Yarrowia lipolytica: one gene and its partners. The protein of the gene in region 1 interacts with the protein of each later gene in a biochemical or structural test. Links are inferred from orthologs where the notes say so. Each region holds a gene or a part of one and is shown in the gene's direction. Other genes may lie near its edges.

What was found.
Region 2: the proteins of YALI1_D15114g (region 1) and YALI1_F35938g form a complex in vitro, tested with the Saccharomyces cerevisiae proteins (2 studies listed by BioGRID). The link is inferred for Yarrowia lipolytica from reciprocal best matches to the Saccharomyces cerevisiae genes KAP95 and NUP116.
Region 3: the proteins of YALI1_D15114g (region 1) and YALI1_C30632g form a complex in vitro, tested with the Saccharomyces cerevisiae proteins (2 studies listed by BioGRID). The link is inferred for Yarrowia lipolytica from reciprocal best matches to the Saccharomyces cerevisiae genes KAP95 and NUP60.

Annotation. Positions count from the first base shown.
Region 1 is NC_090773.1:1,506,124-1,517,251, reverse strand, and holds YALI1_D15114g (uncharacterized protein), read left to right. Parts: upstream 1-5,758; coding exon 5,759-8,356; downstream 8,357-11,128. Other genes in the region: YALI1_D15181g (uncharacterized protein), read left to right, coding at 1-1,888; YALI1_D15149g (uncharacterized protein), read left to right, coding at 2,345-4,156; YALI1_D15063g (uncharacterized protein), read left to right, coding at 9,688-9,697, 9,915-10,062, 10,123-10,180, 10,865-11,086. UniProt on the Saccharomyces cerevisiae protein: Importin beta subunit that functions in nuclear protein import through association with the importin alpha subunit, which binds to the classical nuclear localization signal (cNLS) in cargo substrates.
Region 2 is NC_090775.1:3,589,679-3,601,555, forward strand, and holds YALI1_F35938g (uncharacterized protein), read left to right. Parts: upstream 1-4,139; coding exon 4,140-7,433; downstream 7,434-11,877. Other genes in the region: YALI1_F35907g (uncharacterized protein), read left to right, coding at 1,089-3,047; YALI1_F35983g (uncharacterized protein), read left to right, coding at 8,627-11,877. UniProt on the Saccharomyces cerevisiae protein: Functions as a component of the nuclear pore complex (NPC).
Region 3 is NC_090772.1:3,059,056-3,069,177, forward strand, and holds YALI1_C30632g (uncharacterized protein), read left to right. Parts: upstream 1-4,228; coding exon 4,229-5,590; downstream 5,591-10,122. Other genes in the region: YALI1_C30614g (uncharacterized protein), read right to left, coding at 1-2,348, 2,865-2,928; YALI1_C30653g (uncharacterized protein), read left to right, coding at 6,330-6,954, 7,184-7,380; YALI1_C30665g (uncharacterized protein), read left to right, coding at 7,456-7,953; YALI1_C30672g (uncharacterized protein), read left to right, coding at 8,154-8,540; YALI1_C30683g (uncharacterized protein), read left to right, coding at 9,259-9,344, 9,733-10,122. UniProt on the Saccharomyces cerevisiae protein: Functions as a component of the nuclear pore complex (NPC).

The DNA of each region.
Region 1 (11,128 bases):
TATTCCTAAACGTCTAGTTCCATTTGTCCAAATTGCTTCTACTATCGTGAAAAAGTGTCAGCAATACAATTTTTTGCGGCTTTTGGATGCCTGGTTCCCACTTAATCGCGACTACGAGGATGGGCACTCCGTTAACGATGTGGTCTCCTTCTGTTTTGCAGCTTCTCATCTCCTCTTTCCTCACGTTTTATTTGGATCGGCAGACAATTGGGCCGTTCTACGTTCAAAGTACGTCTATTATCTGAACTTGCCATCTCGAACTTCTCCGCATCTGGATACAATGACTGGGGGATTCAGGTTGACCGAAATCAACTGGCTCTTCACTTCTGATATGAATCTGAAAAAGTCACGAGACGATATGCTCAAGGCACGTGAGCTGTTTGAACAGCTGATGATCTGGGTTACAAACCGCTTCCTGCCTCAGATTCTAAGATCTTTCTTCTATTTCACAGACTCTCTCACCAGTGACCAGATCATCTACCGACACCCTGTATGGCAAAGAAAGACCAGAAGCACTCTCCAAGAACTGAAGAGGACCCAGTTTTCAAGTAAAGTCCTTACTCCGTCGGATCTCGGAATCTCAAAGTTCAGATTGATGCCAAAAAAGTCAGGCTTCAGACCCATTGTGTCTTTGGGAAGACCTGTTCAGAGTCCCAGGGGAAAGAAACCGATCTCTGTCAACAAGAAGCTCTCAAAGCTGTACAAGATACTGTATCAGGAGTTCAGACTCGGTGGAAATAACAAGTGTGGTCTTGACTCGGTTCACCTGCTCAAAAAAGTGCTAGGGAAGTACGAAAAGGCAATCAAGGGCCAAATTCAAGGTCTCAAGTTTGTCAAGATTGATGTCACTGCGGCCTTTGACACTATTCCAGCATCCAAAGTGAAAGACATTTCAAAACGACTGCTTGATTGTGAAAGTTACTCGCTTCATAGCCACTCTCGAATCTTGCCTATGAGTTCAAAAACAGTTCTGAGATGGTTCACCACGTCTCGGGCCTGTAACGGGAGATCTGAGGGAGCTCTACAAGCCTTCAGACGTCTGGGGAATAAGGGGATCATAGTGGATGAAAACAAAAGTGACAGTGTTGGAAAACAACTGCTGTACAAACTGCTCAACGATCACTTGTTCAGAAATGATGTTTTTATTGACGGTCAGGTACATAGACAAGTGCGTGGAATCCCGCAAGGCTCTATATTATCCTCTTTGTTTTGTTCCATGGTCTATGAGGAAATGGTGCGTGAAAAGTTCAGCGATCTCGTTGATAGACCAGATACCTGTCTTATGCGATTCGTGGACGACTTTATGCTAATCACTACCGACACTGCTATAGCTACCGAGTTTTTAAACAGAGCTCTCAAGGGCTTACCTGACTATGGAGTCTCTGTCAACCGATCCAAGTGTCTAGTCAACTTTCCTCTGTCTGTGGGTGGTGTCAGAATCGCGCAGCTTGAAGAGGGCGAAATGATGCCGTTTTTGGGCATGAAGATCGATCCTTGCAATCTTCAGATACATCGAGACTATCCCTATAGCTCTGCATTATTATGGGTCGATAAAGGAGTCAAGCTGGCAGCTGTCAGACACAGAGCAAAGGAATACTTTTCGGCTCGGTTCCCCAGGCTGCTGTTGAACAAGAGTGTTCCTGAAGCTGTGGTTCTCAAAAATGTGTCGGCATTCTTTCGGTACGTGTTTTTGCGAGCTATTCGAACTTTTGAACACTTTGGCCACGTCTCTGAGAGCAGGATCACTCAGGAAGCCATTACTTTGGCTGCTGAAATGATCGATATTTCCATGTGTGTGGTTACTCCAAAGTGTCCCCATGTTGGGTTGAAGAAGTTGCGTGGGTGGCTAACCAAGATTTCGGTTCTGTCCATTGAGAGGAGGAGATGATGAGTATGTGTGCATTTGTCTAATTTATTTAATTTCCCCCCTTGGTTTTCACTTTTTGGTGAATTTTTTCGTTCGCCATGCGCTATTGTACAAGTACAGTAAATCTCAAATTGCCATATATCACCGGAATAGGCTACATAATGAAATGCGGCGTACAAGTAGAAGAAGAGATGCTCGCGAAACCCGCGTTTTTACCTAAAAAAAGAAATCCAACGACAACTATCGCAACATGTCCCTTGTGACACACTCCCACGTATATATATACCCTCCAGCACTCTCCACAGGTGTACTACTCTCACCCGTCTCCTGCATCATAAGCTTTGAACATGCGAGATCGATGCACTTGTTGTATCCAACGCCACCGGCCTTTGACATAACTCTTTCTGACTGCATCAGCAAAAGAGAGGAATCCGGCGACACATCCAGTCACGCACCCACAGCCAGGCATATCATGGGATGGACGAAGATCGCCAGAACCGTTCCAAAAAACTCAAGTATTTGTTCGATCCCCGCCAGGATGTGTTGAGATTCGGCCAGCCCAAGAAACAGGTCTTTTGTCCGCTGTGTCCGCTGGACATTACGGGACTTAGCATTTCCGAGCGCAACGCCCATGCTGAGAAATGTCTGGGCGTTGAGTGTCTCGATGATGATGGCGTCACATGTGCTACACCCACCAAAGGCGACCTGACGTTTGATACAAGCACAATTACACCCGCAACAGTCAAGATGGAGGAGATGCAGGCAGTGGGAACGCCAATTTTTCTCGCAGACGAATTTCTTCATCTGTTGAAGGGAGGAGTGAAGAGCAAAGTCAAGGAGGAGATCAAAGACGAGGTGTACTTTAGTGCTGATGAAACCATGGATACGACTGTGGTGGAGACACAGTCACTGACACGGGCCGTGGAAACACCAACTAAGAAACCGAGACGAGCACCGCAACGAAAAGCCAAGGCCAAAGAACCCACTTCAACCCAGTCCATGATGGTGTGTAACAGTCAGGGAGAAATGACTTCTGCTGTTGTAGAGCCTGTCAAGAAACAGAAGCGAGCCAAAAAGCCGGCACCGTCGTTCAAGATTATCAAGATGGGAGAAACGAACGTGGCGGTGGACTCGTTTATGCATGGACCTCTCGAAGGGATCAATCTTTATTTCCTGTCACATTTTCATGCGGATCATTATGGAGGACTACGAAAGAGCTGGAATCACGGCCCTATCTTTTGCACACCCATTACTGCAGCTCTTTGTAAGATGAAACTGGGAGTCCAAGATGAGTGGCTGGTTCCGATCCCCATCCATATTCCGTTCTGTGTCGGTAACGACGTGGAGGTCATCTTCTTTGACGCCAACCACTGCCCCGGAGCAGCTGTCATGCTGTTCACCAGTCCGACAAAGACAGCTGTTCATTGTGGAGACTTTCGGGCCAACATGAACCTGGTGCGTGAAATCAAACTGAAACTCAAGCAGCGAGAGCTCGACGAGGTGTACCTCGACACCACGTATCTAGGACCCAGCCATGCCTTCCCCAGTCAAAACCGAGTGGTTCAGGTGTGCGCAGACTTTTGTGTGCGACTAAACAACTTGAAAATGGAGCAACTGGAGAAAGCTCAACGGCAGTCGACAATCGGAAGATTCTTCACGAGCTCACCCAACTCTCCAGTACATCAACTTCGCACATTGTTTGTGGTTGGAACATATACCATTGGAAAAGAGAGGCTGGCAATTGAGATTGCCCTTCGTCTGGGTTCCAAGCTCTTTGCCGACACAACCAAACGCCGCATTCTCAAAACATTCAACGACCCCGTCATCTCTGAATTACTAACATCCGACCCTCTAGAAGCCCAGGTTCACCTCGTACCTCTTGGCCAGACCCGCAAGGACCAGCTGTTTGAGCATCTCAAGAGCTTCAAGCCGCATTTCTCCAAAATTGTCGCATTTGCTCCCACAGGATGGAGTTACCGACCACCCAAAAGTGCTATTCAAGCCAACGAGCAAGCCACAGACCTGCGACCAAGTTACTATGACTTTGGAGACCTCGAGTACAATGTGGAGAATCTAGATCGGAATCTGGAACGGTCTGCCATCGAGCCTGTTCAAAAGTACAACGTCCCGTACTCTGAGCATTCGTCTTTTGTCGAGCTACGAGCCTTCTGCTTGAACATGGCTGCCACCACCATCATTCCCACCGTGAACATGTCTGCTGACGAGAGTGTCCGCAGGCAGATGTACTGGCTGGAGATGTGGACCGGACAAGCGAGGGAAGGAGTCTGACGACTGTACATAACTATTTATTACAAGCGCTAACCATCTGACTAAGCCGCCTTGATGGTTACTATGCATGTAGCCCGAAGTGTGTGTCTGGTCTGTATTGTGTTTCATAGGCAGCATGTAAACATATATGGTGCAAGCATCCTACAGACTGTCGGTTAGACGGGCTGTTGCAACTTCAGTACTCGTATGACGCTCGCTAGTCGGTCAAAAATCAATTGACCATGAACCCTTTAGCGGCTGAGATAACCTCACCGGAATAATGACCTTGTCAAATAAACCGCCATCCAAGGTTCATAAGATGCCGGCATTATACATAATTACAACTTGCTGCAGGTTTGTTTTGACGCGTTACCCAGCAACTGATCACGATACAGTATACGTGCGAGAACTTGGGATTTCGACCCGCAGTGTTTGCAAGTGGTAGGAGCCCACACTGTATCTGTGTATTAATTTCCCCTTATTACAGCATGTTGCTCGGCAACAGTGGGGGCGGGGATAGCGAGAGCCCACACTGCTCCTAGTTGTGGTCATCGTCGTCATCAAAGACTGTAGGGCAGTTGTAACGACTATTCTTTAAGGTCGGTGGAGTTACTGTAGAAAGATAGGGATCATTTACTTGCAGTAGTTACCGGAACGATATCTGGATGGTGGTCCTTTACTTATGGCTGGTGTACGTGTACCGCATGCACAGACTTGTATGTGCTCTGGCGTATGGGCAAGTCGGCATCAGTATTTCTCAGTCCGGGGTTGGGGGATGCTAATTTGCCACCTGGAGCTGGCGACATTGCGGCGTGGGACGCGACTGAGTAAATGAGTCCCGTTTACATAGCTTTTTGTTACGCCATCCCGACCTCAGTAAGATTGCTGGGAGGAGGAGCTGGGGGCGTTGCTGGGACAACCGGGGGTGTGGGTGTGCTCAAATTTACAGCACTCTATTTGAAAATTGGCTTTTGGGTCTGTTTACGTCCCATCATTTTACCACTCCCTGTTTTAAACAGATTATATTCGATTCAGCCGTTTGCGAACGACCTTCAATTGGCCGAGGAATTCTTTTTGTGTGGACACTAGAGACCGACTTTCGACTTTCGGATATCGACAAATCACAGACTACGACGTGAGTACGACGGACGCCATGTGGTGAGGTGTTCAGATGGCCAAGGTGGCCGTTTGCGACCCGTCACGTCTCTGAGGGACGGGGCGAATAAGGGCATGTTGCGGGTGGCATATGTGGGAATTTCTGACTTGAACAATGTCGTTTTCCCGCTCAAATTGCCGGCTCTGGAGGTTGTAGCGGGACGCAACTTGTGTGGGGTATCTTGGAATTGATTTCTCCCTGGCTGGCCAAGGAGACAACTGCTGGGTTAACGGGATCGCGCTGGATAGTTGTTTTCGTGGCAGCCATCAGTTTGATTTATGACGATCTTGTCTCATTAATCGATTGATGACGTGTGTGGTTTGGTCTAGAATACCGCAAACCAGACGTGGGGTGCACGAGACAGACATCAGCGGCAGAATCGAAAACACGAGCGCACTAAATTTGCACCCGCAACGTTGCCATTGAAACGACACACACACAACCTATCTAGACCCCTACTAACCCAGATGGAAATCGCACCCATTCTTCACGACGCCTTCCAGGGCGCCACGCCTCAGGTGCGAAACGAGGCCAACTCCAAGCTGGCCGACGCATACCAAAACTACTACGGTGATGTGATGATGGCCCTCGCCAACTGCATCAGCACTCAGGATACCCAGATACCCGATGAAATCCGAGTGCTTGCTGGTATTGCCATCAAGAACAACTTGACATCCAAGGACCAGGAGGTCAAGCAGGAGCAGGCCAACAAGTGGTTGGCTGCCGATGGATCCGTTACAGATCAGATCAAGAGCATTCTGTTGGAGGTTCTGAAGAGCACTAACAACCAGGTGGCTTCAGCAGCAGCCCAGGCCGTGGCCGCCATTGCGGAGATTGATCTGCCCCAGGGACGATGGTCCAGTCTCATGACCACCCTGGTGGAGAACACCAAGGACGAGCAGCCCAGTCACATCAAGATGGCCGCTCTGCAGTCTATTGGTTTCATCTGCGAGCGAGCAGACCGAAACAATGCTGGTGTGGTTTCCCAGGCATCAGGCATTCTTACTGCCATTGTGCAGGCGGCACAGTCCAAGGAGTCGGACCAGAACGTGCGGCTCAAGGCCATTGAGGCACTGGGCGACTCTCTGGATTTCATCAGAGACAACTTTGCCCGGGACGGTGAGCGAAACTGCATCATGGTTGTCGTGTGCGAAGCCACCCAGAGCGATTCTGCCAAGCTGCGGGAAGTCAGCTACGGCACAATGTCTCGAATCATGACCAAATACTACCAGTTCATGGAACTGTACATGAAGCAGGCTCTGTTTGGCGTTACCGTCAAGGGCATGCAGGATTCCGACGACTCGGTGGCATGCATGGCTGTGGAGTTCTGGTCGTCCGTATGCGAGATTGAGGACAAGAACCAGCGGACCGGCGAGGAGTGCTTTGGCTTCGCCAAGGTGGCTGCCCCCAAGGTTCTGCCCATTCTCTTGGAGCTGCTCAACCGGCAGAACGAGTACGATGACGACGAGGACTGGAGTGTTAGCATGGCTGCTGCCGCCTGTCTGCAGCTGTTCGCGCAGACCATTGGTAACGACGTGGTGCCTCTGACTCTGCAGTTTGTCGAGCAGAACATTGGAAATACCACCAGCTGGAGAAACCGGGAGGCCGCTGTCATGGCCTTTGGTTCTATTCTGGACGGTCCTGACAACGCCCATCTGGCCGATCTCATCAAGCAGGCTCTAGAGCCCATTCTCAACCTGATGAATGACGACTCTCTGCAGGTCAAGGACACCGTGGCGTGGTGTCTGGGCCGAATCTCCGATCTGGTCATCAACGCCATTGACGAGCAAGTCCATCTGCCCGTCATCATGAATACCCTGCTCAAGGGACTGCAGGACGAGCCCAAGGTCATCACCAACTGTTGCTGGACTATCATGAACATTTTCGAGCAGCTTGGCCACGGCGGCGTCAACCAGGAGACCACCGTCGTCTCCCCCTACTACCCCCAGGTGCTGCCTGCTCTGTTGAACGCCGCTTCTCGAAACGACAACGAGAACAACGCCCGAACCGCTGCTTACGAGGCTCTGTCGACCCTTGTTGTTGTGTGTGCCAACGATTGCATTGAAGCCGTGCTTGAGCTGTCGGGCGAGGTTGTCACTCGTCTGGAGACCACTCTGGAGATGCAGCAGCAGATTGTCGGCATGGACGACCGAATCAACCTGGAGGAGCTGCAGATCAACCTGCTCGGTCTGCTGACCAACATCATCCGTCGAACTGACAAGCTGGTGCTGCCCGCATCCGACCGGCTTATGACTCTGTTCCTGAACCTGCTGCAGAACAAGCTTCCCAACTCGCTCATCGAGGAGGACGTGTTCATTGCTATTGGAGCTGTCGCCGATGCCAACGGTGAGGGCTTTATGAAGTTCATGGAGTCTCTCAACCCCTTCCTTCTGCGCGCTCTGGAAGATCCTTCTCTCATTGTGTGCAACACTGCAGTCGGTCTGGTGGCCGACGTGTCCAACGCTCTGGGCCCTGCCATTGACCAGTTCTCCGACCAGTACATGCAGCTGTTTGTCACCGATTTGCAAAACCCCAAGGCCCAACAGGTCATCAAGCCCTCGATTCTGTCGTGCTTTGGAGACATCGCGTCAAGCATTGGCCCCAAGTTTGAGCGGTACTTTTCTTTTGTCTTCCCTGTGATTGAGCAGGCGTGCCAGCTGGATGTGCCTGACCAGTACTCCGGCTATGCCGTGTCCGAGGAGTTCCTTGACTTTGTCGCCAACCTGCGTGAGCGAATCATCGACGCATTTGTCGGCATTGTCACCGGTCTTCGAGACTACCCTGCTCTGTTTGCTCCCTACGTCCCCACTCTGTTCAACTTCCTGTCCAAGGTGGCCGTGGACCCTCTGCTCGCTCCTGTGGAGTCTGTGGCTCGGTCCGTTGTGGGTATCATTGGTGATGTTGCCACCATGTATCCCGGTGGAGACTTCAAGGAGGCATACACTAAGCCATGGGTGCTGGAGTTCATTCGACGAACTCGAAGCGATCCCGAGTTCACTGACGAGACCAAGATTACCGCTCGATGGGCACGTGAGCAGCAGAAGCGACAGCTGGGCGAGAAATAGGCTGTCTGAGATGAGGGAACAAGTTTTTGCACAAAAAATAGCATGATACCGGAAAAATAGAAAACAAGCGTTTGAGTATGACTACTTTGTAGTTATAGGTTGGTGAGTATATCGCCAATATACAGTGTAGCAGGTGGCCATGATTTAGATCTACCCACCCCCCTGATTGTTTGCCTGTCTGCATCTGTAGCACGTGAAGATCTTGCTCGATAACCATGTGAAAAAAAAAAAAAAGGTACAACCATATGTATTGTAGCTGTGTGTATGTAGAATGGGGCAACTTTGTGGGGTTGTATATATATTTTAGGTTCCATCGACAGAACGAATACGGCTGGATAAGTGTGTGATATATGTTTGTAGTTGCAACTTGTCCAAGAATCGACTTGCCAGGCCGGGTTGTGCTGTCATCAGTGTTTCATCTACTGTAGTCGACAGCGGTACTAAAAGCGGGTTAGACTCAACTAATTCAGTTAGCTTTAGTCACTACGTTTACCCCACACCAAGGCCCAAAGGCCTAAAGGCCAAAAGAGAGCCATGTGGGTTTGGCAAATCTAGTTTGAGGACACCCATGCGCCGCCAAACTCTCCAACCAATAGAGAAGGGAGTAATGTCAGAATGGGTTTATATACAGGGCAAGCTTATGAGACGGAGGCTTCAACACGGCATAGACGAGGCATGTTCGTGGAGCGGACTCCTGCGCCAATGTGCCAGTTCTCGACACCGCTCTGTGCTGTGCGGAGGCGAGAGTCGTGCTTATAAGTGTTTTGATTTGCTCTGATACTAGTTGTGCTCGTTCCTGGGCACCATGTGGTGGATCGATCCATGTGTGGGTCTTTTAGCCCTTGAAAGGATGTGAGATTATGTATAATACTGGAGGAGGTGGAGGAGCCGCAGTGATGGGCGGATGTTGGGCTGCTATGCAGGGGGCTTGATTACATAATACGCGATCTAGACGGATATACAATGAGGCCAGTACTGTCCAATGTTCAGCATCTCAGCAACACGTACATTTTCACTTCCCCCCACCTCTGCTTACTCTTCTCCACAATCATATGGGCCTGTGGAATTAGAGTGTGGTTTGATCCGCGCATGGCCGCATCATGTTGGGTGGTGTGCCCTAACCGCACACTGCCGTTTCGGGTAAACAGCCTCTTTTTAAATACTATATACCAAGCTTGCCTTCCCAAGTTCAGAGTGATTCTTACACAGCTTGACATTACTTTCAATCATCAAAAGTGCGTATTGGAAACGACTGGGGCGCACCCACCCGGGCTGAAGGGCAGACGACGGCCACTGAACCGAAGCTTCCGACCCAAACAACGTCTCTATGAATGAATCGTCGTCTTTCACGTGATGAATCAACACGACATGGAGGTTGTCCGTTGAGTGGAAGAAGAGAGATTGGGATAGCTCAGAGAGACACAAGTAAGCACGCACTGTTCGAAAGCTGTGCAATCGACTGTTTGGTTGTGTCTTCTGGTGTTTCTGCAATCCATACATGCCACCACCCGCGACTCCCCCAGCCCCCCTACATTCCCACCCTGCAATACTAACACAGTGTCTGACACCGCCGCCATTCCTACTGATACTGCCGAGAAGAAGATCTTCACCCTCAAGCAGGTCGCCGAGCACAAGGACCGAAATGATCTGTGGATGATCATCAACGGCAAGGTCTACGACATCTCCAGCTTCGTTGACGAGCATCCGTGAGTACCACAATAGGAAAGTCGCCCAGCAACACAAACCACAACAGCTACTAACTACAGCGGTGGAGAGGAGGTTCTTCTTGATGCCGGTGGAACTGAGGCCACCAACGCTTTCGACGTGAGTATTTCTAGATTTCGGATGATGGGCCAAACAGGAGATGGAACCCCAACACCACAGAAGCAAGGAAAAAAAAGCAATAACACGGACTCAAACAGCAGCAGCTGATGAAATCGACAATGTCAGGGCAACAATTGCAACTGCTATTGTCTTTCGGAGGTGTTGTCGTTGTGTTTCACGTTGTGCTTTCTGTGCTGGCCAATGACAGCACAACATTAGTCAGACACGAGGAATACGACAAGGTTTCGACCCACCTACAGTTGCCCAACGGATTAGTGATCTAATCGCGAGTCCCAACTATGAGTTGGCACTGGGCGCGGAAGAAACTACCCGATTGTTACCCAATACACCTAGGCACTCTCAAAGGACCGCTTGGCTTGCATTTTCGATTGCTGCCGATTCCAGGGTGTTACCCCACTTTTTGAACTTTCACGTGCACTCGAGATGCCACCGTTTTGGAATTGAAGTTTCAAAGTCTAAAGTGTTGAGGAATCGTTCCACAGGAGCAGTCAGGTGGTTGTGCAGAGTTGCTTTTGCATGTCTACCTCTTTGAAGGGTCTGGAAATGGTCTCGGGGATCGCCTAATCAGTCGCCTATTTAGACTTCCAACGTGTTTCCCATCCGATCTGTCGCGTGACACGGTGACACGAATAACACGACAGTTGAATTGTATACTAACCCTAGGACGTTGGACACTCTGAGGACGCTTACGGCATCCTTAACGACCTCTATGTCGGTGAGGTTGACCCCAGCGAGGACGTTATCCGAAAGACTCACACTGTCAAGACTTCTTACGAGGACGGCGAGTCTGTTGGTGATGACCACGGATCTTCTTCCATGATCTTCCTCATTGTTGCTGCTGCTGTTGCCGCCGCTGCTTTCTTCTACCTCCAGGGTCAGAAATAAGTATGTTAAATCATTTGGATATTGGTAGTTAATCATTTTTAT
Region 2 (11,877 bases), on another chromosome or scaffold:
AATTCCCTAGCATCGACACACTGAAATATTGGTCTACTGCCCGGATTATATATATTTAAACTTGCGTGATACTTTCGGAACTAGAGATGCCGTGGATATGTCGGCTAGGGTCGACCCGGTCGATACCCGGATGGGGGGTTTGCGGAGGGCTGTAGGAGGGACTTTGAGACATAATTTGACCGGACAAAGCAATGGATCAATATTACTGTGTCCAATTTGTAGATTTGTGTGGTTTTAATTTCGAAAATAACTCTCGTACTTGTAATAGCCCTACCCCTCCTATTATTCCGCTTCCTTACCGTTAGCCTTGAGAACCTTGTTAAGTATATGAAATGCAGTGTGCGATACAGAATGTGTATATGAATTATGGTGGTGAGTTAGTACAAGATGACAATTGTCGTACAGGTACTTGTATGGGTACTTGTAGGTACGAATATTGAATGAGTTGTGTATAAAAGGGGTTTTGAATCTCACCTCGTTCTCATTATACAAGTCCAAGTACAGTACTTGTACTTATCTCGTGTCTGTTAATTGTTTGAGTGGGTCGTCTTAAACTCCTTAAACTGACTTCGTATGCTGTGAAGCCACGGTGGGGTGTGCACCCTGCAAGCGTAAGAACGGTCAATATTCTGAGCTGATAACATGTGATCTCTATCACACTATGTGTACAAGTACTCTACAAAGTACATGTACTGTACCGACACAAGAAGATGAGCTCATACTCACCCGTCCCTCTCAATGTGCACCCCCACACGCTGCACACACAGCGACAACACCAGAATTTCAAGTACAAGTACATGGCGTCGAAGGTGTTAATTTATCCCCTATTCGAGTCCCCGCAATAACTACCATGGGTGTACCTTCATATGAGAAAAAAATATCGCCTAAGCGTTCATATTATGACGGCTACTGATGCTCATGTGGGGGGAATACTAAGTTCACGGGTCATACATACCTCTCCTAAAAATTTGTACACATCCACACACAAGGTTTTGACGCGTGCATGATTTCGTTAATGGAAAAAACGCGTCAGGGCAGCACGAAGCTACACAACACTCAGCACACTACAACATACGAGCTACACCACCATGCCAGCAGTCCTCCCGATAAAGCTGAATCCATCGCAAATGCGGCCCGTGGCGTACCGGATCTTCTCCAAGAAGCACGGCCTCAACTTGAAATCAACAGGTCTCGAAACACTCACCGAAATCATAGGCAAAAACTACGGAACCGAATGGCGAGGGGCCGAGGCTGCCAAAATGATGGAGGAGATTTGTCGACTGTGGAAGGAGCAGGAGATGGGTGTTTTTGTGGAGGGCAAGCCGCTGCAGGAACTGTTCGATGAGATCACAGCCAGCAAGAAGGCCAAGGAAAAGGCACGAGTCCAGGTGGTTTCCAAGAGCGTGGGATTGACTGGAGTGGAGGAAATCGAGGATCGGGAAGGAGAGCCACAGGTGAACGTCATCAGAGAAGCAGCTCCTTCTGTGGACGTTGTGTGGAAGGAGTTCTTCAAGGTGATTAGTGCTTTTGATCAGCCTCTTTTCCATTATAATGCCCGCCAGCAACGGTTTGAGAAGCGGAAAACAAAACCCACATTGTTCGCCAATGCCCAATCTGCCTCTAACATGTTTCTGACTCGTTACCATCTGGTCTACAACCGTCTATTGCGCAATGACGACACCACAGACCTGAAAATCACATCGATCCGATCTCTTATTGGTCGACAGGGCGAGTTTTCCATCTTCGGAATGCTTTCCAAGAATCCGGAGCAGAAGATTTGTTTGCAGGACGACACTGGTCGTATTCTGCTGATCCTAGCAGCTGGTTGCAAGCCTGATCCAGGAGTATACTATCCTGAAGGCTCCTTTGTCATCTGTAACGGTCGATACATGAAGTCAGGAGACGCCGAAGTGTTTGTGGTCATCACCATGGGCCCTCCTGTGGCCGAGAAACGACAGGAGACCATCACAGCATACGGAAACATGGACTATCTGGGACTGCATGGAAACCCCCATGGTTCTGTGGTGAGACGAATTGAACGGCAGGTGGAAGCATCAATGCTTGCCGAAGAGAAACGCTTGGTAGATCAGAAAGTGATTGTGTTTGGTGGAGATATGTATTTGGACAATCCTTTGACTCTCAAGGCTCTACAGAAAGTGTTTTCGACCATTGAGCTTGAGTTTCAGGACTCTGGAACCAAGAAGCCTCTAGCCATGGTGTTCTCAGGAGACTTCACTAGTCAGTACCAGCCACCGCATTTGTACAAAAAGGGGTTCGACAAGTTGGAGGAGCTTTTCAAGGAGTTCAGCAGCATTATCACTGGTGTCAAGATTATTTTTGTTCCTGGCCAACGGGATCCTTGGACTAACACTTTCCCGACACAGAATGCAGTTGTTCCTCTGCAACCTCTTCCAACCACCATGATTAACAGAGTCGCCAGACTATGTGGAGAGGATGTTTCAATGAGCTCCAACCCCTGTAGAATGGCTTATCTTACACAGGATATGGTCTTCTACCGAGATGGACTCAGTGAGCGTCTGCGAAAGTGCAACCTTCAACTTGATTCTGCCAAGGACGATTCGGACGATTCGGATGATGACATTGAGATTGACAACGATGAAGTAATGATCAACGACGTTGTAGTCAACGAGCCCGAATCGTCCTTCGACTTTGGAGAGGGGCTCAGCAACCTCACTCGACCAGTGGATATCAGCACTCCTATGGCCAGCCAAGTGGGTCCTACCAACACTCTTTCAGCCAAGGAGGTGGAGTCTCGCAAGATTGTGCGAACCATTTGTGATCAGGGTCACTTGTCTCCCTTCAACAGACACGACAGACCTGTTGCCTGGGACTACGACGAAACTCTATGGCTCAGTCCACTGCCTACGATCCTGTTTATGGTTGACACACATGCTCCGAAGTTCTCTCTCAGGTACGAGGAGTGTATGGTGGTCAACCCTGGCCCCTTCCTGAACAGAAAGATCGCCAGCTGGGTTGAGTATGATCCTTCCAAGAAGACAGTCAAGGAGCGACAGTTGCATATTTAGACAGTAATTCATGACCCAATATTAGAAAAATGAGCCTTTGTTGCGTTTGAAGCGATATTATTGCCTTATCATACGCAGTCTTATGATTATTATTAGTAATCAAATGAAGAATGGAGACTAAAAAAGCCCGACGTGGGGCTTGAACCCACAGCCTTGAGATGACACCTAAGAATAAGAGTCTCACGCTCTACCGATTGAGCTAGCCAGGCATGTTTAACGATATTGAAAAAAGAAAATTGGACGTAGAATACCGTACATTTGATTAGTCAGCTGATTAGAATAAAAAAATTGAGTAATGAATCATCAGAATAAAAAAAAATTGAGCTGTAATGAATCATTAGTTAAAAAAAATATAAAAAAGAAAAAACGAGAAAAGAAAAATGGATCATTAGGATAAACAAAAAGTGTGTAATACATCCAAAGATTAAAAATAAAAAATAAAAAATAAAAAAACATCCCAGAAATCAAAAATGAAAAACCCTGAAAATGTATTTCCGTAGAACAAAATAATTAAGATGTCCTCAGAACAACCATAGGAGCTCTATAACGACGCGTTGCATAAATAGTAGTTGCATAAAGAAAACCAATAACAACGAGTAATACTCATCAAAGAATGCAGGTAAGATAAACACTGCGTTCGCAGAGTACAATATGTACACACACAACCTGACACGTCCTGTTGTTACACATTCCAGCAAGATCAGTTTATGCATGCAACAATACATACAACACAATACATTTAATCGTATACATACATCTGAGAAAAGGTCAACTATTGACAATATTTGTAAGTGGCGAAACCCTACAAAACATGGGACATGATATATGAGCCCCTCAGAAAAGAAACATCGGACAAACAGACTCGTGAGCTCGTTTCTCCACTATTTCAGTAAAATTTAATTTTGTTGCTTGAAACACTTTCAAAGTTGATACTGACTGCTCAAGTTGCTCCTCACACATGCCCAAAGTTGAGTTACCCTACCTGCGAACCACCTCCCAACTCATACAATTTAATGATTTATAGGCAGGAAAAAAAAGGCTGACACAGACTCAACATCACACCAAGATCTCATTGCTCCCGTCTTGAAAGCCATGTTCGGAAGCAGCAACACGACATTTGGCGGCGGCTCGTCGTTCGGTAACAACAACAACTCGTCTGGCGGCGGTCTTTTCGGCAACACCAACAATGCATCTTCTGGAGGCGGAATGTTTGGGGCTAAGCCAGCCACCAGCACTTTTGGTGGCGGTGGATTTGGAGCCTCGAACACCAACACCTCCACCAATGCGTTTGGGGCAGCTTCTTCATCCCCCTTCGGCTCGTCTTCGACCCCTTCTCCTGGTCAATGCCCCGGTACCACTCTTACTCCCTTTCAGCCGTTTACCGACAAGGATACTGCCAACGGAAAGATGATGACCAACATCTACGAGACCATCACCATGATGCCTCAGTATCGCACTTGGTCTCAGGAGGAGCTGCGGCTGGCTGATTACCAACAGGGTAAGCAGTACGGCACTGCTGGCGCCACGGCCACCAACACCTTTGGGGCTGCCAACACCGCTTCTCCCTTTGGATCTTCTTCCAACACCAACAACTCGCCGTTTGGAAACTCTTCCACTTCGGGTGGCAATACTTTTGGTGGCGGGTTCGGCCAGAACAAACCCGCTACTGGGGGCCTGTTTGGAAGCTCCAACACCAACACTGGTGGTGGATTTGGTACCTCGTCCACTTCTGGAGGCTTTGGCTCCAACACCACCAGCAACACTGGTGGATTCGGCGGATTCGGTCAGAACAACAACGCCACTAGCAACACCGGTGCATTTGGGGCTGCCAAGCCCTCGCCCTTTGGTGGTACCTCGTCTTTCGGCAGTGGCAACACTGGTGGAGGCATGTTCGGAAGCACCAACAACACCTCCAACACCACCAGTGGCTTCGGAGGTGGATTCGGACAGAACAACGCTAACACCAACACCACTGGCGGTTTCGGCGGAGGATTTGGCCAGAACAACACCACCAACAACTCTGGCGGAGGTCTGTTCGGTAACAATAACACCACCAACAACACCTCGGGGGGATTTGGCCAGACTTCCACCTCTACTGGCTTCGGTTTCGGTCAGAATAAGCCTGCTACCACCAGTTTCGGCCAGACCAACAACACTGGGGGTGGTCTCTTTGGCAACACCAACACCAACACCAACACCAACACCGGCGGCGGAATGTTTGGCCAGGCTAACAACAATACCTCAGGTGGAGGGCTGTTTGGTCAGAACAATAACACCAACAACAGCGGGGGAGGTCTGTTCGGTCAGACAAACAACACCAACACTACGAATAACGCATTTGGTGCGAACAACAACACTTCTGGAGGAGGCCTGTTTGGACAGAAGCCCGCAACTACCGGTTTCGGAGCAACCAACACAGGCACTACAACCGGCGGAGGACTGTTTGGCAACACTAACAACAACACTAACACCAATACAGGCGGTGGATTGTTCGGCAATAATAACAACACTAACACAAACACTGGTGGAGGTTTCGGAGGGTTTGGCCAGAACAACAACACTGCCAACACTGGGACCACCGGTGGCGGTTTGTTTGGCCAGAACAAACCTGCTACTGGAGGGCTGTTTGGCCAGAACACCACCACTCCTGCCTCGACCGGTACTACTGGAGGAGGCTTCTCGTTTGGCCAGAACAACAACAATGCCTCTTCCAACACTGGAGCCACCGGAGGAGGCCTCTTCGGCCAGAACAAGCCTGCAACCGGCGGTCTTTTCGGAAACAACAGCTCAACCACCACTACCAACACCACTGGCGGAGGGCTGTTTGGAAACAACAACGCCGCCTCCAACACCTCTGCTACCACCGGTGGAGGTCTGTTTGGTGCCAAGCCTGCGACTACTGGAGGAGGTCTGTTTGGCAGCAACAACACCACCAACACCTCCAACACCGGAGGAGGTCTGTTTGGCAACAACAACGCTAACACCAGCAACACTGGCGGTGGATTGTTCGGTAACAATAACGCCAACAATAACGCTAACACCTCTACTGGTGGCGGTCTGTTCGGCAACAACAATGCCATGAATAACAATAACATGAACAACATGGGTGCCAGAAACAACCAGACTCCTTCGCTCACGGCGTCCATTGACCAGAACCCCTACTCGAACAACCCCTTGTTCTCTGGTCAGACTCCTCCTGCTCTGACCTCTTCTGGTTCCAACGGCACTGCCAAGGATCCTCTGACCACCTCTCTAACCTCCAAGAGCGGAGCCAAGAGCGGCAACAACGGCGTATCTTCTGCATCTTACCTTTCGTCGTCTCGACCACTGTTCCAGCCTCGAAAGAAGACGTCTGCCATTGCTTCCGAGCATGTTGCGCACCAGCGAAACTACCCGGAGGACCGGTTTGAGCGAATCTCTCTACCCGAGGTCGCCTCTGCTGGCAACACTTCTGTGTCTAGCGTGGGCAACACATCTATGTCCACGGCCAGCAAGCCTCGCCACTCTCTGTTCTCTCCCAAGACAGATGAGTTCTTGCTGGGGTCGGACGCCTTTGTGCCTCGACGAGAGATCCGAAAGCTGGTCATTGACCGTTCTGGCGACGAGGCTGAGCTGCGACGTCTGACTCAGGGCGAGGACCCTGAGCTGGAGGATCCTCACCAGCACCAAAACGTCCATGATACTCCTTCCAAGGCTCCTCTCAAATCATCTCTCAGTACTCCGAACAGCCAGCAGCGAAAGAAGTCAGTGTCTTTCTCTGCGGCTGGAGACAACTCCGTGTTAAATGGTTTGAACGACCCTGACTCGCTTGAAATGGCTCCCGTTTCTCAGTCAGGAACTCCTTCATTCTTCCCCAAGTCTACGGCCTCTCCTATTCACAAGGCTGTGTCTGTGGAGTCCTCCGCCACTGCTTCTCCCACTGCCACCCAAACTTCGGACGAGGAGATTGTCGATGATCAGGGCTACTGGTTCTCTCCCCGACTCATGGCTCTCAAGACCATGACCACCGAACAGCTCAAGGCCGTGCCCAACTTTGTGGTGGGCCGAAAGGGCTTCGGTAAGATCCAATTCCTCGAGCCCGTGGATCTGACTGCGGTTGATCTGGACGAGATCCCTAACAACGTCATCACCTTCACCAAGCAAACTTGTATCGTGTACAACGACGACCAGGAGCGGCCTCCTATGGGCGAGGGTCTCATGGTACCTTGCAAGATAACTCTTTACAACTGCCGACCCATCGCCAAGGACACAAAGAAACCCATCACCGACCCCAAGCATCCCTATGCAAGACGATGGATTGCTCGTCTCGAGCAGCAGAAGAACACCCGATTCATCTCCTACGATCTGGAGACTGGTACCTACGTGTTTGAGACTGACCACCCTTAAAAGGTGTACTTCAAGATAGCGAAGAAGTAGATCAATGTAAACTATGTATGTATGTTAAAACGCATTAATGTCGTTACTGTAGAAGTAAAGTATCGTACACTGTGCTACAGTAGATGTACTGGTGCTTGTAGTTGTACAAGCTGCAGGTGAGTAGTTACAATATATAGAATTTATACTGGTACAATTAGTTGGATGCGTCTGGCAAGATTCAATTGAGGCTTATGCGTTGATACCTGAGTCGTTGTATACAATACCTGGGCGTAAAATTGCAACAGGTACAAGTACGAGTACAGTGTCATAATAGCCGTACAGTACTTATACATTGATGTGCGCTTCTCCTCATGCATAACAATGGACATGAAGAAGGTGCTGCTTTTTCGTGTGCCTGGCTATCGTGCCTGGCTATCATTTTCATGCCTAAAAAATCGTGCATCATTAATTCTGTCACGTCTGGTGCAGCCGAAGAGTGATCTGCAGCGCGCCTGACGTAATACTGATGATTGCGGATGTTCTGACTTTGAATAATGCATCTCAAACCGAATCAGCCGTGCCCCAGCGTACCGAATCCAGTAATATAAACGCTCATATTACGACACCGTTTGTCCAAACAACCCTTTTTCCGCTTTCCGGGAAAAAAATGTTTAGGTTCAGGTGCCCCTGAAATGTACTGCCAAATGAACCCGCTCGCGTGCCTGTTACACGTGTCATTATGTTGATGATGGAGATGAGAACCCAGTATTGTTTATGGTAGAAAAAATGGACCAATAAAAGATCTTTATCACGGCACAATTGAGCCACTTGTAGACGTGCTCCAAAAACGTTTCCTAATGTCTAAAAGTTGGAGTTTCCGCTTTGGAAGCCTAAAACCCAAACGAGCTTCACACGTTGCGTGCCGGAGATTAGCGAGATTGTTAGAACGTGCTAAGTGTAGTTATTGGGGTGGTTTTTGACAAGCCAAGCAAGGGTGGTATTTTGACAGCTATCGAAGACCATACTCATCTTGTAGTTGCAAAAACAAACATTCTCGTCGCTTCTCTGACTTGTCTCCAATGTCACCCTCTTCGTATAAGTCTGCACATGTCCAAGACGTCCGCCCCATTCCCTAACCCTAGCTGCACACGTACGCGTGAACAGTGCATTCCTTTTGCAACCCGTCAAGAGTGGTGAACACACACATTAGGCACACAAACGACATGGCCAAAAAGAAGTTGAGAGCCGGAGAGGTACGTCGCCCGGCCGGAGGAGCCACCACAGCAGGAGCCGCAGCTTCGAACGGATCAGCCAACGGAGCTACCGCGTCCGGTACCACCTCACGATCTGTGTCCGGAGAGAGTAGCGGAGCCGCTGGAGCCACTCCTCATGCTCCTCCGAGAGCCCGCAACCGCCCACGAGCCGGGCAGATCAACACCTCTGTTAAAATGACCTCTAGCACATCCAATTCGCCCACCACAAGCGTTCCGTCTTCTCCGAAGACCCCCAGATCACCTAGAACGTCCGTTCCTTCTTCTCCACAGGTGGCCCAGTCTCCCAAAGTGCCCCAGTCTCCTCGAATCGTTTCTTCTTCTCGACCGGGATCCGCTGGTTCGCCAGTCTCTGTCAAAACCAGTTCAAAAGCTGTAAAAACAGAGGCAACTAAACAGCCAGCTACTCGAAAAGTGGAGGCCGTGGTTATCGATTCGTCTGACTCCGAAGACGAGTTTCACGACACAGAGGCTGTGGTAATCGATTCCGACGACAATGACGACTACGACGCTGTCATCGAGACCGTCAGCCAGCCCGTGCTGTCTAAGGCCAAGGTGGTGCGAAAGAAGGAGCCCGAGGTGGCCACTACGACCCAGACAGCCCAGAAGGCCGTATCCGGAATTCCCCAGATCAAAATCTACTCTCCTCACAACACTCAGTCGGAATTCAAGCCCAGTGAAGACGAGGACGACGAGGACGAAGAGATCTCTATGGGGGACAACAAAATCGAGTTTGGTAAGGAGCTCACCAAGGATATCAGCAACAAGACGGACGCTGCTGCTGCTTCAGTTGGCGCGCCAATCCCCTCGCCAGTGGCTTTCACTCCTCCTCCTCCTGTGAACTTCACTCCCCCTCCCGCAAGCCCTCCTGTGGTGGTTGATCTGGACGACGACGACGGAGAAGTGAGATACAAGGATCGGTTCAAAAAGAGAGCCGCCGATACAAAGCCCGCAGCTGGTTCTACACCAAAGCCCGAGGAGGAGGTCATTGATCTTGATGAAGAGTCTTCCCAATCCCCCACAATCACTCCAGGTGCATTCCCTACCCCTGGGGCCTTCCCCTCATCTGCACCAAAGACAAAGAAAGAGCCTGTCAAAGAGGTCAAGAAACCTGTCCAGGAGAAAAAGATTGAGGCAAACGAGCCTGCCAGGGACGAAGCCGAGTCAAAGAAGACCAAGTCAAAGAAGGACACCTTGCCAGAGACTTCTGCAATCACAGAAAGCGTTGCCGCAGGTGTGGCCGCTTCTGTGAGTGCTACAGCTGCTGCTTCCGAAATGGCTTCCGATCATACTCCTCTGCAAGAAACTCCTTCTACACCTACCAAGGCTGGTGACGCTAATTCAACTGCTGCCATCGACATTGCATCTGGCTCTCCTGTGACGTCACCCAATGGTTCGCCTCTCAAGGGTATTCTCAAACAGCCCAAGCATGCCAAGAAGCCGTCCATTCGAGCCACTCACACTACCATCACGGAACCAATTCCCGATGACTCGCTTCTCTTCTCCGTCTGCATTGTGGGATTTCACCATTCTCTGGGACCCCAGATCGAGGAATGGTTTGGCCCCGAGGACTACTCTCATCTGTGGCCAAACCTACCTTTCCAGGCTCTCAGTGATGGATCCCATTCTCGGGAAGAGGACTTTTCATACTTCACTCTTCTGTTTGATGAGAACAACAAGAGCGCTCCTGGAGCTGGTGGGTACTCCGATGGACGTCCTTTCAATACCCAGACCGTTACAACGCTGTTTGGTATCGCCTGTAACCGTCAGGTTGGCGTGACCGATGCTCTGAAGCAGGATTTGGCTGTGACTCGAAGTACTGTTCAGAAGTGTGTTGTGGTTATATGCCGAAAGCCCATCTGGGGCCCCATGAAGGACAAGCTGGCTGTGGTGACACGTGCATTCTTTATGCAGCCCACTTTTGACGATAAGTCCATCATTCGAAGCTTGTTTGACTCGCTGGCACACACATTAACGCTGTCCAAGTTCAACTCAGACACTTCTTCTGACGTGTCCATCGGCATGTCGCTCTGTGAGCTGGTTTCACGTCTCAAGCAGAAGCTGGTGGTGGTATTTAAGGCCCTGTTGCTCGAGAAACGAGTGCTTTTCTACGCTTCTTCAACTGAGCTGCTCTGTACTTCACAGTTCTCTCTGGTTTCCCTTATTCCTAATCTCATCAACAACCTGCAAGATTGCGGATCTCCCTTGCTGCATTCATACGAGCTCGGACTCACTCGTGCAACCTCACTTAAAACCTCTGATCGGCAGTCTCTGCTCAACTTTATGGGACTGCCTCTGATGGTCTTTGGAGAGGGTGGTATGTTCTCTCCCTACATTCCTCTGCAGCAGCTTGGCGACCTCGCTCTGGCTAGATACTACCTGGTTGGAAGCACAAACTCACTCCTGTTGCAACAGAAGAAACAGCATGCCGATGTGCTTGTAAATATGGACGACAACACCGTCGAGATTCTCAACTCGTCGTTGAAGTCGCCGCTATCCTTGTCGTCGTACGATAAGAAGTGGATCGAACGAGTCGTGCAGGCTGTCGACACTTCGTCTGGAAACTCTGCAGCCACCACATTCCATGGCAATGAGGACTATGTCAGACTCCAGTTTGAAGACTACCTCATGGGTCTTCTTTCTGCCGTCAAGTACGACAATTTCCTTTCTTCCCATGGCTCGGCTCCTCCACCAGAGATGCTTCTTAAGGAAGTCCATGGCAACCCTGTCAAGCACTTTTCTCTGGACTGGGTCAACTGCTGGCGAAAGACCCTCAATTACGAGTTGTTCAATAACTTCACCGATGGGGAGCTCTTTGACATTGTCGAGCCTAGACACATGGCCGACGCTGGCGTCACTGAGAAGCAGAAGTCGCCTTTCAGTGAGGTTGGCAAAGCCTGGGCTGGCTTGTTCAGTAAGAACGGTTCCAACACTGCTATTGACAAGACAAGTGGCAGCAGTTCCGGTGACAAGGAGAAGTCTGTCTCTCCTACAACTTCCTCAGTGTCTCCTTCGGTGGCTACTACTGTCGCTGCTGGCCACGGCACTTCTGCCAACGAGACTGCATCTCTGCCTTCAGACACTTCTGTGAAGACACATCGATCATCTGACTCCACTTGGTCCATGCAACAGAAGTCCACATCATGGTTCAGCCGATTCTCAGCTGCCCCCAAGGACGACACTGAGTCTAGCGAGCCTCTCAC
Region 3 (10,122 bases), on another chromosome or scaffold:
CTCCTGAACTCGATGAGGGGACTTGTCTTCGTTGCCTAACGATCGTCGTGGGTTCGCAACAGGGTTGTGGTACAACTTGAAGGCCCCTGACAGCGATTCTCGGATGGGATTGTGAGTGGCAGGCACACTAGCGACCTTGGTTCGATGGATCAATTGAGCCTTGAGATCCTGCACCTGGGGAGCGTCTCTAGGCAGCGAAGAGTGTACAACCATCCAACGAACGATGGCCGAGTCTCTGCTTTTGCCCACGTTGACGGAAATACGATACACCTTGCCGTCGTCCTCCAGCTGGTTAATGTCTCTGTTGAGAGTCTTGGAGTCCACTTTTCCGTTTCGGGATCGCGAATACGATGCGTCAAACATAATCTCCAGCTGTTTACCGCCTTCCAGAACACCGTTGTTGGCAGAAAGAAGTTTCAAAATACGAGACTTTCGCTCCATGGCTGCGAAAGAAACAACTCCTCGAGAAGTAAGGCGCCCCGGAGCAGGTTCGGGCTCTGTCGTCTCCGCAGCAGCCTGTTCGGCCTCGGCTTCTTGTCTGACTGCGATTTCCACGGGGTCAGTTTCGGCCAACACCGCTGCCACAGCTGCCTCGGCCACGGAAGAAACAGTAGCTGAATCAGCCTGTTCAGTGGTTTCCCCGGTTGTTGCCTCGGCTTCATTTACGGTTCGACTGGCCGCCTCCAGAGCAGCAGCAGCAGCAGCAGCTTCAGCAGCCTCTTTCTCCAGTCTGATCCGCTCATGCTCAGCCTTGGACTTTCGGCCACGCTTCTTGGGCGGAGGTTTGTCTCCGGGAGCTGCAGTGTCATCGTCCACAGGTCGCTTTCTGGGTCTGCCTCTGGGTCTACCTTCTCCACTGCCCTGCTGGACAGAAATCTTGACGCCAGCAGCAGGAGTCACATTGTAGCCTCTGAAGGTGACAAACTGATGCTCTGAACCATCGGGGAGAGTCACAGTAGCTGTCAGGACGACTCCAGGGATCTCAGAGCCAAGTTTATGTTGCATGTCGCTCAGAGAAGAGTAAATTTTGGCAGCAGCTTTGGCCCCAGAGGTAGGAAGGGGTCGAAACTTACCCCAGGCGGGATCGGCAGCCTCTCCGACAAAGGCCCGATAGTCCATTTCGGTCACGTACCGATAGTACTTGGTTCTGGCATTCACATCCAGACCCCGAATGAGGTTCAAGTATTGCAGTTCGGGGTCGGACTTGTTCTTGACCGTCTTGTTCTTGGTGGTTCGCTCGGCAAAGCCTTCCAAGTACCGCGAAAACATACGGGTGTACGAGATACCAGCAGTCAAACGGCACAGCTCCATGGCAGGGATACCATGGGAGCCTCGAATCTGAGTGAGGTTGAAAATCTGGTTGATGAGGGGGTAGAAGCGGTTGAACGAAATGATATGAGAGTTTTCTTCGGGCAGCAAGGGCTCTCCAACGTCTTCCATCTTGATTCCCGCACTGTCGTCCATAACATCCAAAGAGCCCATAATCTTCTCCTCCTCTTCAGGCTCGACTTCCTCTTCCTCTTCCTCCTCTTCGTCGTCATCCTCATCGACACCAGCCATATCTGTGGTGTTGACATAAGGCTTGAGGAATTTGAGACAGTAGTACTTTTCATCCTTGCTAGGGTCGGGGTACACATAGACTCGCTTGAGGTAGCCATTAGCCTCCAGCTGACGCACAGCACGAGCAAAGTACGACTTGAGACGTCGGGTCTTGCCACAGCCCATTTCGTCTCTTAGGTCCAGGTACTGTCTGATTCTGTTATGAGCGTTGAAAGTAGCTTCAACCAGCCGTTTTCGGAAATCAGCAATATCCACTCCTGCAGCTCCAGACGAAGCAGCATTGCCGGTAGTGATACCCAGCTTTCTTCTGTTGGCAGCCACAAACGATCGGTACACAATCAGGTTCGTGTTGTGACCGGCATAGTAGGGGAAACGAGACACCAGACCCTGCTCCATGAGTGCGTTGACCCGCCCAAAGATGGATCGCGCATCCTGGCCAGTTTGTTTGGTGATCTGCACAGCGGTAGCTCCATCTTCTCGAGCAGCGGCAACAACACACAGTGCTTCAAAGGGGAATGCTCCAATGGGGTTGTTCTTCTTGGGTCTGCCCGTCAAAGTACGCCACTGGGTGTCTTCGTCAGCGTACACCTGAACCGAGTCCTGGGGGTATGTCTCGAGCAGAGTTTTGTAATCAAGTTTGTTGACGGTCTCGGTCTCGTCTTCTCCGTTGACTCCAACGACCATACTGGGATGGTTCATGAGCCATTTCCAAATCACTTGCTGGAGTTTGGGCGTGAGATTTGGAACCTTGTCGTAGGAGAGTGTCCACAATTGGGGGAGGGTTACACCTAGGTTAGCAGAACACGAGTCGAGTGTACGAGCTGTGAGAGAAGGGTAGAAGAGTCATGGAACATTGGAGAGCAGGGATGGCGCAGGTGCGAACGGCATAGCAACGAACGAGAAGACTTGGGCAGTCCTATCAGTGCTGTTGAGTACAGTCACAATTCGACCAAAAGTGACCGCTGTAGAGAAAAAACACCCTCAATCAAACTCCATCGCCATCTAGAACGTTCGGGAAGGGTTTCTTCACAGCTTGGGCGTTTTTCACCCCTCCCTAGAGCTATCAGCTAGTCTCAAGTGGACCAAAAACACCCTGATCCTGTCTCCGAAGAGACTGAACAGCTCACACCGACCAGACACACGCACGAACACGTCCATTCTTGCCTCTTCACGTAAATTGCGGCGTTCGCAAAAAAATATTTTTCCCTCTGCGATGCTGCATATCGACCATTTGGCTGGTGGACTGTCGAGACGGGGTTTTTTTGTCCATTTTGCCGTTTGCGTCACTCAGCCGGGACACTCACCTCCGGGACCAAACAGGGCCACGTTTTCCACGAGATAGTCGACAATCTCGTCGGGGGAACTCATGGGTCGGGTTATTGCTCGGGTAAAAAAATGACAAGAGAGATTCGAACTCACGAGGTTATCCGGTAGGGTAATTTGGGACGTAACCCTAGACGACGGGGTTGGGGGAAGCAATTGAAGGCGATATAACGACGTTGCGGGGATTCGAAGAGTGGATATGAGCGAGGTGCAACATTGCCGCCGGAGTGATTGTAGTTCTTGTGGACTTGGTATTGCTTCATATAGTGGGAGGGCAAGGGGAGGGGAGGAAAGTAAGAAGTGTTCAATATACGGGTATGACGAGAATTACACTTGTGGGGGTATTTCAGAGTCTGACTGGGGATGGACAACTGTATGGAGGTGGAGGAAGAGCTGTGGGGATCATTTTGTATGGCGAATGTTGGATTTGTACAAAGTCCGATTATATGAGGTCACGAGGATGGTTTTGTGTGACTACGGCACTGATGGAGTATTCCGGGGTGTGATGATGTCTAGTTTAGAATGGTATGTTTGAATGGCTACTGAGCGTCAAGGAGGAGCAGCCGGACTGTCGCGGAGGAGTAGCCGGACTGTCGCGGAGGAGTTGATGTTTGCGGAGGAGTTGATGATTGCGGAGGAGTACTTCACATTACCATACTCGTGGAGCCGGTTGTCGACTTCCTTTCATCTCAGATCACCCGCTCAACCTCATGCCAATAGCGTTTTCAGACATGAGCTCGCTTGTACCAGCGGTTGAACTGTAGGCCGTCAACACGACGCCTCGTGGAGACGTATCGGACATCAGAATGGGAAACCAAAGACACAAATCTAGACAGGAAGCTTCGACGATCAGATTTATGTGTTTATATCCCACAAAAAGCCCCTCCAACCCCTCTTTAGTGCTGCTCAAAATGCTCTCTCAGCCCCCCCAATAAAGCCAAATCCCTAACCTCCAACCTCCCAACATGCATGGTGCCAAAAAAATCCACATGATACACTAACTAACTACTTGTACGCCTGTGACGACACCAACGTCGACAAACACACCGTTGGCGCAGCATCATGGAAAACTCCCGCGTCGTCCGCACCAAAAGCTCGCTCCGCAGCCTCCGAGGGGTCTCCCTACGGACCGCCCCCCAGCCCCGGCCCGTCGGCGGCCAGCCCCCCCGCTGAGGGACACAGAAGCGGTCTCTTTTCCCGGGTGGTTGGGTTTTTCCGCCCGCACAAACCCGACGACCCCAATCAACCAACACAGAGCCACTCGCCTGCAAATTTGGCCCGGGACCCGCCCGTCTCAGCGCTGTACCCCGTGATTGACCGGTCGCGGACCTTTGAAGAGCCCCAGATGGAGGAGGAGATCACAGAAACGGTGTACACGCCATCGCAGACACCGCCCCGACACAAACGCATTTCGCTGGGCCCCGGAAAATCGCCCAACCAACGCCTGGCAGAGTTCTTCGAGAGAAAAGGAGACGCTCCTTTGAGTGATGTGGAAACCGCAGGTGTACTGGCACTCATCAACGAGGCGGCCAGCGACGATCCCAATCTCGCCGAACGACTGTCGCCTACAGGAACCCAGCACGACCGATCGGTTCGTCATAGCATGAGTTTGGCCAATCTGGCAGGCCGCAACGAGACGTACGGATCGCCCTCCAAGATTCCCAGACGAATGGAGCCCGCTGCGAGTGTTAATGGGACTCTCAAAAAGTCGAGATCAATGGCCTCTATTGGCCAGAGAAACTCCCGTGTCACTAGATCGTCCCTCGGTGGAGTTAGAGGCCGTCCATCTCCCATGATGTCCTCTCCTAAGCGATCTGCACGACAGGCCCTGTCGCCTAACCGAGTCACAACCACAAACTCCACATCGCCCATCACCTCACCGGTCTCTTCTGTCGCAGATAGACCTCTTTCTGGAGTGGCTTCTACTCTTCTGTCTCTGATTGATGATGACGAAGAAGAGGTTGTCACACCAGCCGAATCCTCTCCCGCAAAGGAGTTCATCAACCCCTACGCGTCTTCTCCTCGACGACCCGAGCGAGAACGATCTGCCAGTCAGTTGACCCCCCCGTCGCGTGAGAAACTCATGACTCCTTCCCCCGAAAAGAAGGAGGCGTCGCCGTCAAAAACCCCCTCCCAGATCATCAGTCAGTCCATGCCTCTGGAACAGCAGCGGGAGCGAGATAGCGTCAAGGCCCAGCCGCAGATGAAGAAGTTTGACAAGTATAAGCCTGTGCGATCCAGTAATCTGCGAGACTCCTTTGTGGCCGACCCCAAGTCTCCCGAAAGCACCAAGACCTCGGCGCCGAAGCAAACTGCAGTTTCTTCGTCGGGATCGCCTGAATCCATGCCCCCTTCTTTCACGTTTGGTAACAAGACCAACAACGGTTTCACCTCCAAGCTGAAATCGTCTTCTCCTTCCGGGGACGAAGATACAGATGTGAAGATCGGCAAGGATCTGGCATCTTCTGCTGCCATTCGCTCTCCCTCCAAGCCTCTGTACCCTGAGATTTCCAAAGATAAGCCAGTTCTGCCTTCCACTCCCAAACTGGCCAAGGCAGGTATTCCTTCTACTCCCCTATCCGAGGCTGCCAAAAAGTACGGACGAGACTTTGACTTTAGCACTCCCCTCAAGGGCGAGGTGCCCAAGCCGTTGACTCCAGCAGACAAGTCCAAGGTGGACCAGTTCAAGAAGGATTTCGTTTTCTAGAGAGAGGACCAGGAAACGATAAGGATGTATAGCATGAGAAGGAATAACCAATAAATGATATTGTGTAAACATTTGTGTACAGGGAATACGAGGCTGTGGGTGAGTAACAGTGGTACCGTGAGCTACATAGTGTGTAACAAGAGGCGCAGACATCGTCAAAACTACAGTCAGACTTTGAACTGGTTTGGCCATCTTCAGACTCCGACTTAACTGCCGCCGGAGGAGGTTAAATAGTCATGTTTTTGTATTCCTAGGCTATGTTCGTGAGTGAAAATGTATATATAGATATTTTATCACCCTCTTAAAAAAAATATTATTTTTTATTTTTTTATTTTTATATTTATTTCTATTTCTATAATTCTATATATTTCTATTTATTTCTATTTTATTTCTATTTATTTCTATTTATTTTTTATTTATGTATATTCATAATATATTTATTTATATATTAAATAATACTTTTTATCGTATATTCCTAGAGCCCAAAAACCGTCGCAGAAAGATTATTTTTGTACCGAAATACTCCCTAAAATCCACAGAAAAATCTCACATCAAAATGCAATCCCATTTCTTTCAAATATGGCCTCTAAAAGCGCCTTTTCTGCCTCCAAAATAACCCCACTTGCAACTCTATTTGGTGGCGTCATACGTAATCACTCGCTTCCTATTTGGGAGCTGCTCACATGCAGTGTGTTTATTCTTATCTCGGCATTCCGCGACTACGATACTAATCACACACATGAGTTCTTTCAGCGACGCCGTAAGCCTGGAGGCGCAGCCGGCGTACTCGGACTCGCCCGAGTTCGACAAGCTTAACGCCGATATCTCCGACACGCTGTTCCTGCTGAACAACAACCTGGTGACGCTGGGGCGGCTGCTCAAGGCTGCGCAGAACACGGGGGGCAAGCGGGACGTGGTGGGGCGGGCGATCGATCTTGCCGACGAGACGCGGGACCGGTTCAAGACGACGGGCGAGGATCTCAAGCGGCTCAAGGAATGGGACGACACAAACGCCGCCCAGCGGTTCACGCAACAGAAGCTGGGCCGGGAGTTTGCCACGGCATTGTCCGAGTTTCAGCAGATCCAGAAACGGCTGGCCGCGCACGAGAAGCAGGAGATCAAGATGGACAAGCAGGCGGTGCTGGAGTCGGAGTCGAGGGGCGAGGGTCAGCAGCAGCAGCAGCAACTGCAGCAGCAGGATGTCATGACCCAGGACTTTATGAATCAGTCGGAAACAGATCAGCACATGACGTTGATTTCGGAACGAGAGGAGGAGATCAGAAACATTGAGCAGGGTATCGAGGAGCTCAACGAGATTTTCTCCGATCTCGGTACCATTGTGACCCAACAGGGAACCATTGTTGGTGAGTATGACGGGGGGAGGGGGGGATGTTGAGCAGAGGTTTTGTTTAAACAGGGCGTAGACCAGGGTGTCTTCTGACCTTGGAGGTGGTTATATTGATGCAATGTTCTGTGAATCGGTGAATCGGTGAATTGGTGTTTCGCGATGCACATGATTTGCTTACTATGCTCCTACCCGTACCTCTAGACTTTCTCATTGCAGACACCGAGCGAGACTGAATACTAACACAGACAACATCGAATCGAACATGTATTCGATTGCTGGCGAGACCCGAAGCGCCGCCAGCGAACTCAACCGAGCCGCACGATATCAGAGCCGGTCGCGGTCCCGACAGTGCTGTCTGTTGCTAATTCTGGTCATTGTGCTGGCGGTCATTTTACTAGCGGTAGGTGCAAAGACATATTTGAGATGGCACCTTCCTTGGTAGCCCCATCTTCTCTCCCCATTCTCCACATGTTCCACTAACACAGACCTTCATTTAGCACCCCGGTGTATATACTTAATGACATGTAATGATGACGAGGGTGTAGGTGATGTTTTTGGGTCTGAAAACGGCCTGAAGGACCCCCAAACCGTCTTGAAAACACATGAAGAATGGACGTCGAGTGTTCCCAAAATCAACTTTTCCCGTTTATCGGACCACTTTCAGCCCACTTTCAATGTCCCTTCATTCCATTGTCTAGCCCAAGGTATGGGCGATCCAGAAACAGGACCTCTGGAGGCAGTGGACTGCTCAAGGACATTCTGCTCGACACCAACAGAAACTACGCCCAGTACTGCAACGAGACGTCGCGCCCCGGAGTATCTTCATGCCAGAGAGTATCTTCATGATCGCGGCGGACCAAAATCTGCTACTCAAAGTAGACAGACATGCTCATCTACAAGAAGGAGCCCGATACTCGAGTGTTACCCCTTGTTCGGCGTCCCCAGAGGTCGATGGCATTTTGGTTCTTTGATGCCAGGAAGGGGGTTGCTCTCGTGGGGGAACAGAGCTACCTGAACAGCACCATATCGAGGATTTGGGCTCTGTGGAACCCTCCAGGTCGCTCAATCAGGCTATTTTCTGTACATTGGATCCTAGCACCGAAGTGAGTGTCAAACACGGCGTATCGAGACCAATTCGCATTCTGCATACAAATCAATTTCAATTTTCTGATGCTTTGTAATCAGCTGAGAATTAAAACATGTTGAAAAAAAATTATGTTGATAATAATTATATTATTTTTCCCCATTTCCCCCCATTTCCCCATTATTTTCATATTTTATATTTTATATATTTTATATTTTCATTTTCATATTTTTTTTTTTTTTTTTTTTTTTTTTTTTTTTCATTTTCATTTTCATTTTCAATTTCATTTTTCATTTCATTTTCATTTTTTATTTTCATTTTCATTTTCATTTTCATTTTCATTTTCATTTTCATTTTCATTTTCATTTTCATTTTCATTTTCATATTTTAATATATTTATATTTTATATTTTATATTTTATTTTTTTTATATTTTATATTTTATATTTTATATTTTTATATTTTATATTTTATATTTTATATTTTATATTTATATTTTTATATTTTTATACTTTATAATTTTATACTTTTATATTTTTATCTCTTTATTCAACTCTGTGTCCGCTCCTTGCTCCATTTCAAGGTTTGTCTTTAAACTTGGGCGTAAAACCCTTTTTTCCCTTTTTTCCCTCTTTTTCCCTTTTTTTTTGACTTTAATAATCCCCCAATCGTGCACCAAAAGTGCACTCTGGGTGTATAGTAAAGGATACTCCTGGCACTATCATGGCCTGACCACCAAAGACCGGACTTGCACCAAATATAAAACCGGCGGACAACTACAGAAAAGTCGCGAGACCCGACACCCCGCCACAACGCCACCGACGGCACAGTCGCCCCCCCTCGCTTGGGTCCGCAGCTCACATTCACGAAAAATTGTTTATTTTGTCCCGACACATGTAGTTCCATGCACAGCTGAGGTTTCTTTGGAGGGCTGTTTGAGGGTGCGATGCGGCGTCAGAGGTGGTCAGGAAGGGTCAGAGAGGTGACATTCGGTCTTTTGAACGGCGCCAAACCGGCGGTTTTGCCGATACTTTTGTGTCTGTGGTGCTCTTGGTTCCTGTTTGACCACGGGTGTCTCTGTCTCTGTCTGCTTGTCCTCTCCCATTCGGGATAAACTCTCACTAAAAAATTGCACGGTGGTATCTGTCATGTAGTCTAGCGTGCGTCTCTACGTTTCTACTCTTCTTTCTCATTGCTCTTGCCGACTCTCGCTCGACTCTTGACTCCAGCATCCAAAATGGCCCCCGACGTTGCCTCCTTCATTGAAAACGACCTCCACACCGAGATCGATGCCAGCCTCGGCTTTGAGGATGAGCCTCTTCAGTGAGTATGGAATTTGACAGTGGCGGCGAGCCAACTGCCGTTGAAACTGTGCATGATGAGATGAGATGAGATGGCTTTGGAGGTTTAACCCAGTGACCAGAGAAAGTGACTAAGCGTGTGGCTGTTGCAGCTCCTGCGTTGCTGGTTAATGGTGATTGGTGGTTACTGTTGACTGTTGGTGGTTACTGTTGACTGTTGCTGGTTACTGTTGACTGTTGACAAGAGTTGATGTTGGCTTGCCTAGAGCCCAGAATGCGTTCTCAGTTCAGAAAAATACTCCTTCCAAGCCCAAATGCTCTTCAGTCAATTTGTCCCACCACTGCCACCGCTACCTCTTTCGGTATAATGCTCCAGTCGGGCCTCGTAACATCCTATCACGCTAACACAGACTGTCCGCATCCACCCTTGCCGCGCTCATGGACTTCCAGAACGAGCAGGAGGAGCGGGAACAGAAGTTCGCCGAGCTCCACAAACAGGCAGAGGAGGACTTTGATAAGCTCTGCGACGGGTCCAAGGACATCCAGGACTTTGAGGAGGACTGGCAACTGTCGCAGTTCTGGTACAACAAGGCCACCGCCACCAAGCTGGCTCGAGAGCTCCTCGCCGGGGCCGATAAAGATACTGTTATTGCCATTGTCTCTGCGCCCTCCGTCTATGCTGCCATGAAGGCTCTTCCCGAGGAGGAGATCGTTACCCAGAACGTGTTTCTGCTAGAGTACGACGAGCGGTTCGGAGTGCTTGCTGGAAAGAAGCGATTCGTCCTCTACGACTTCAACAA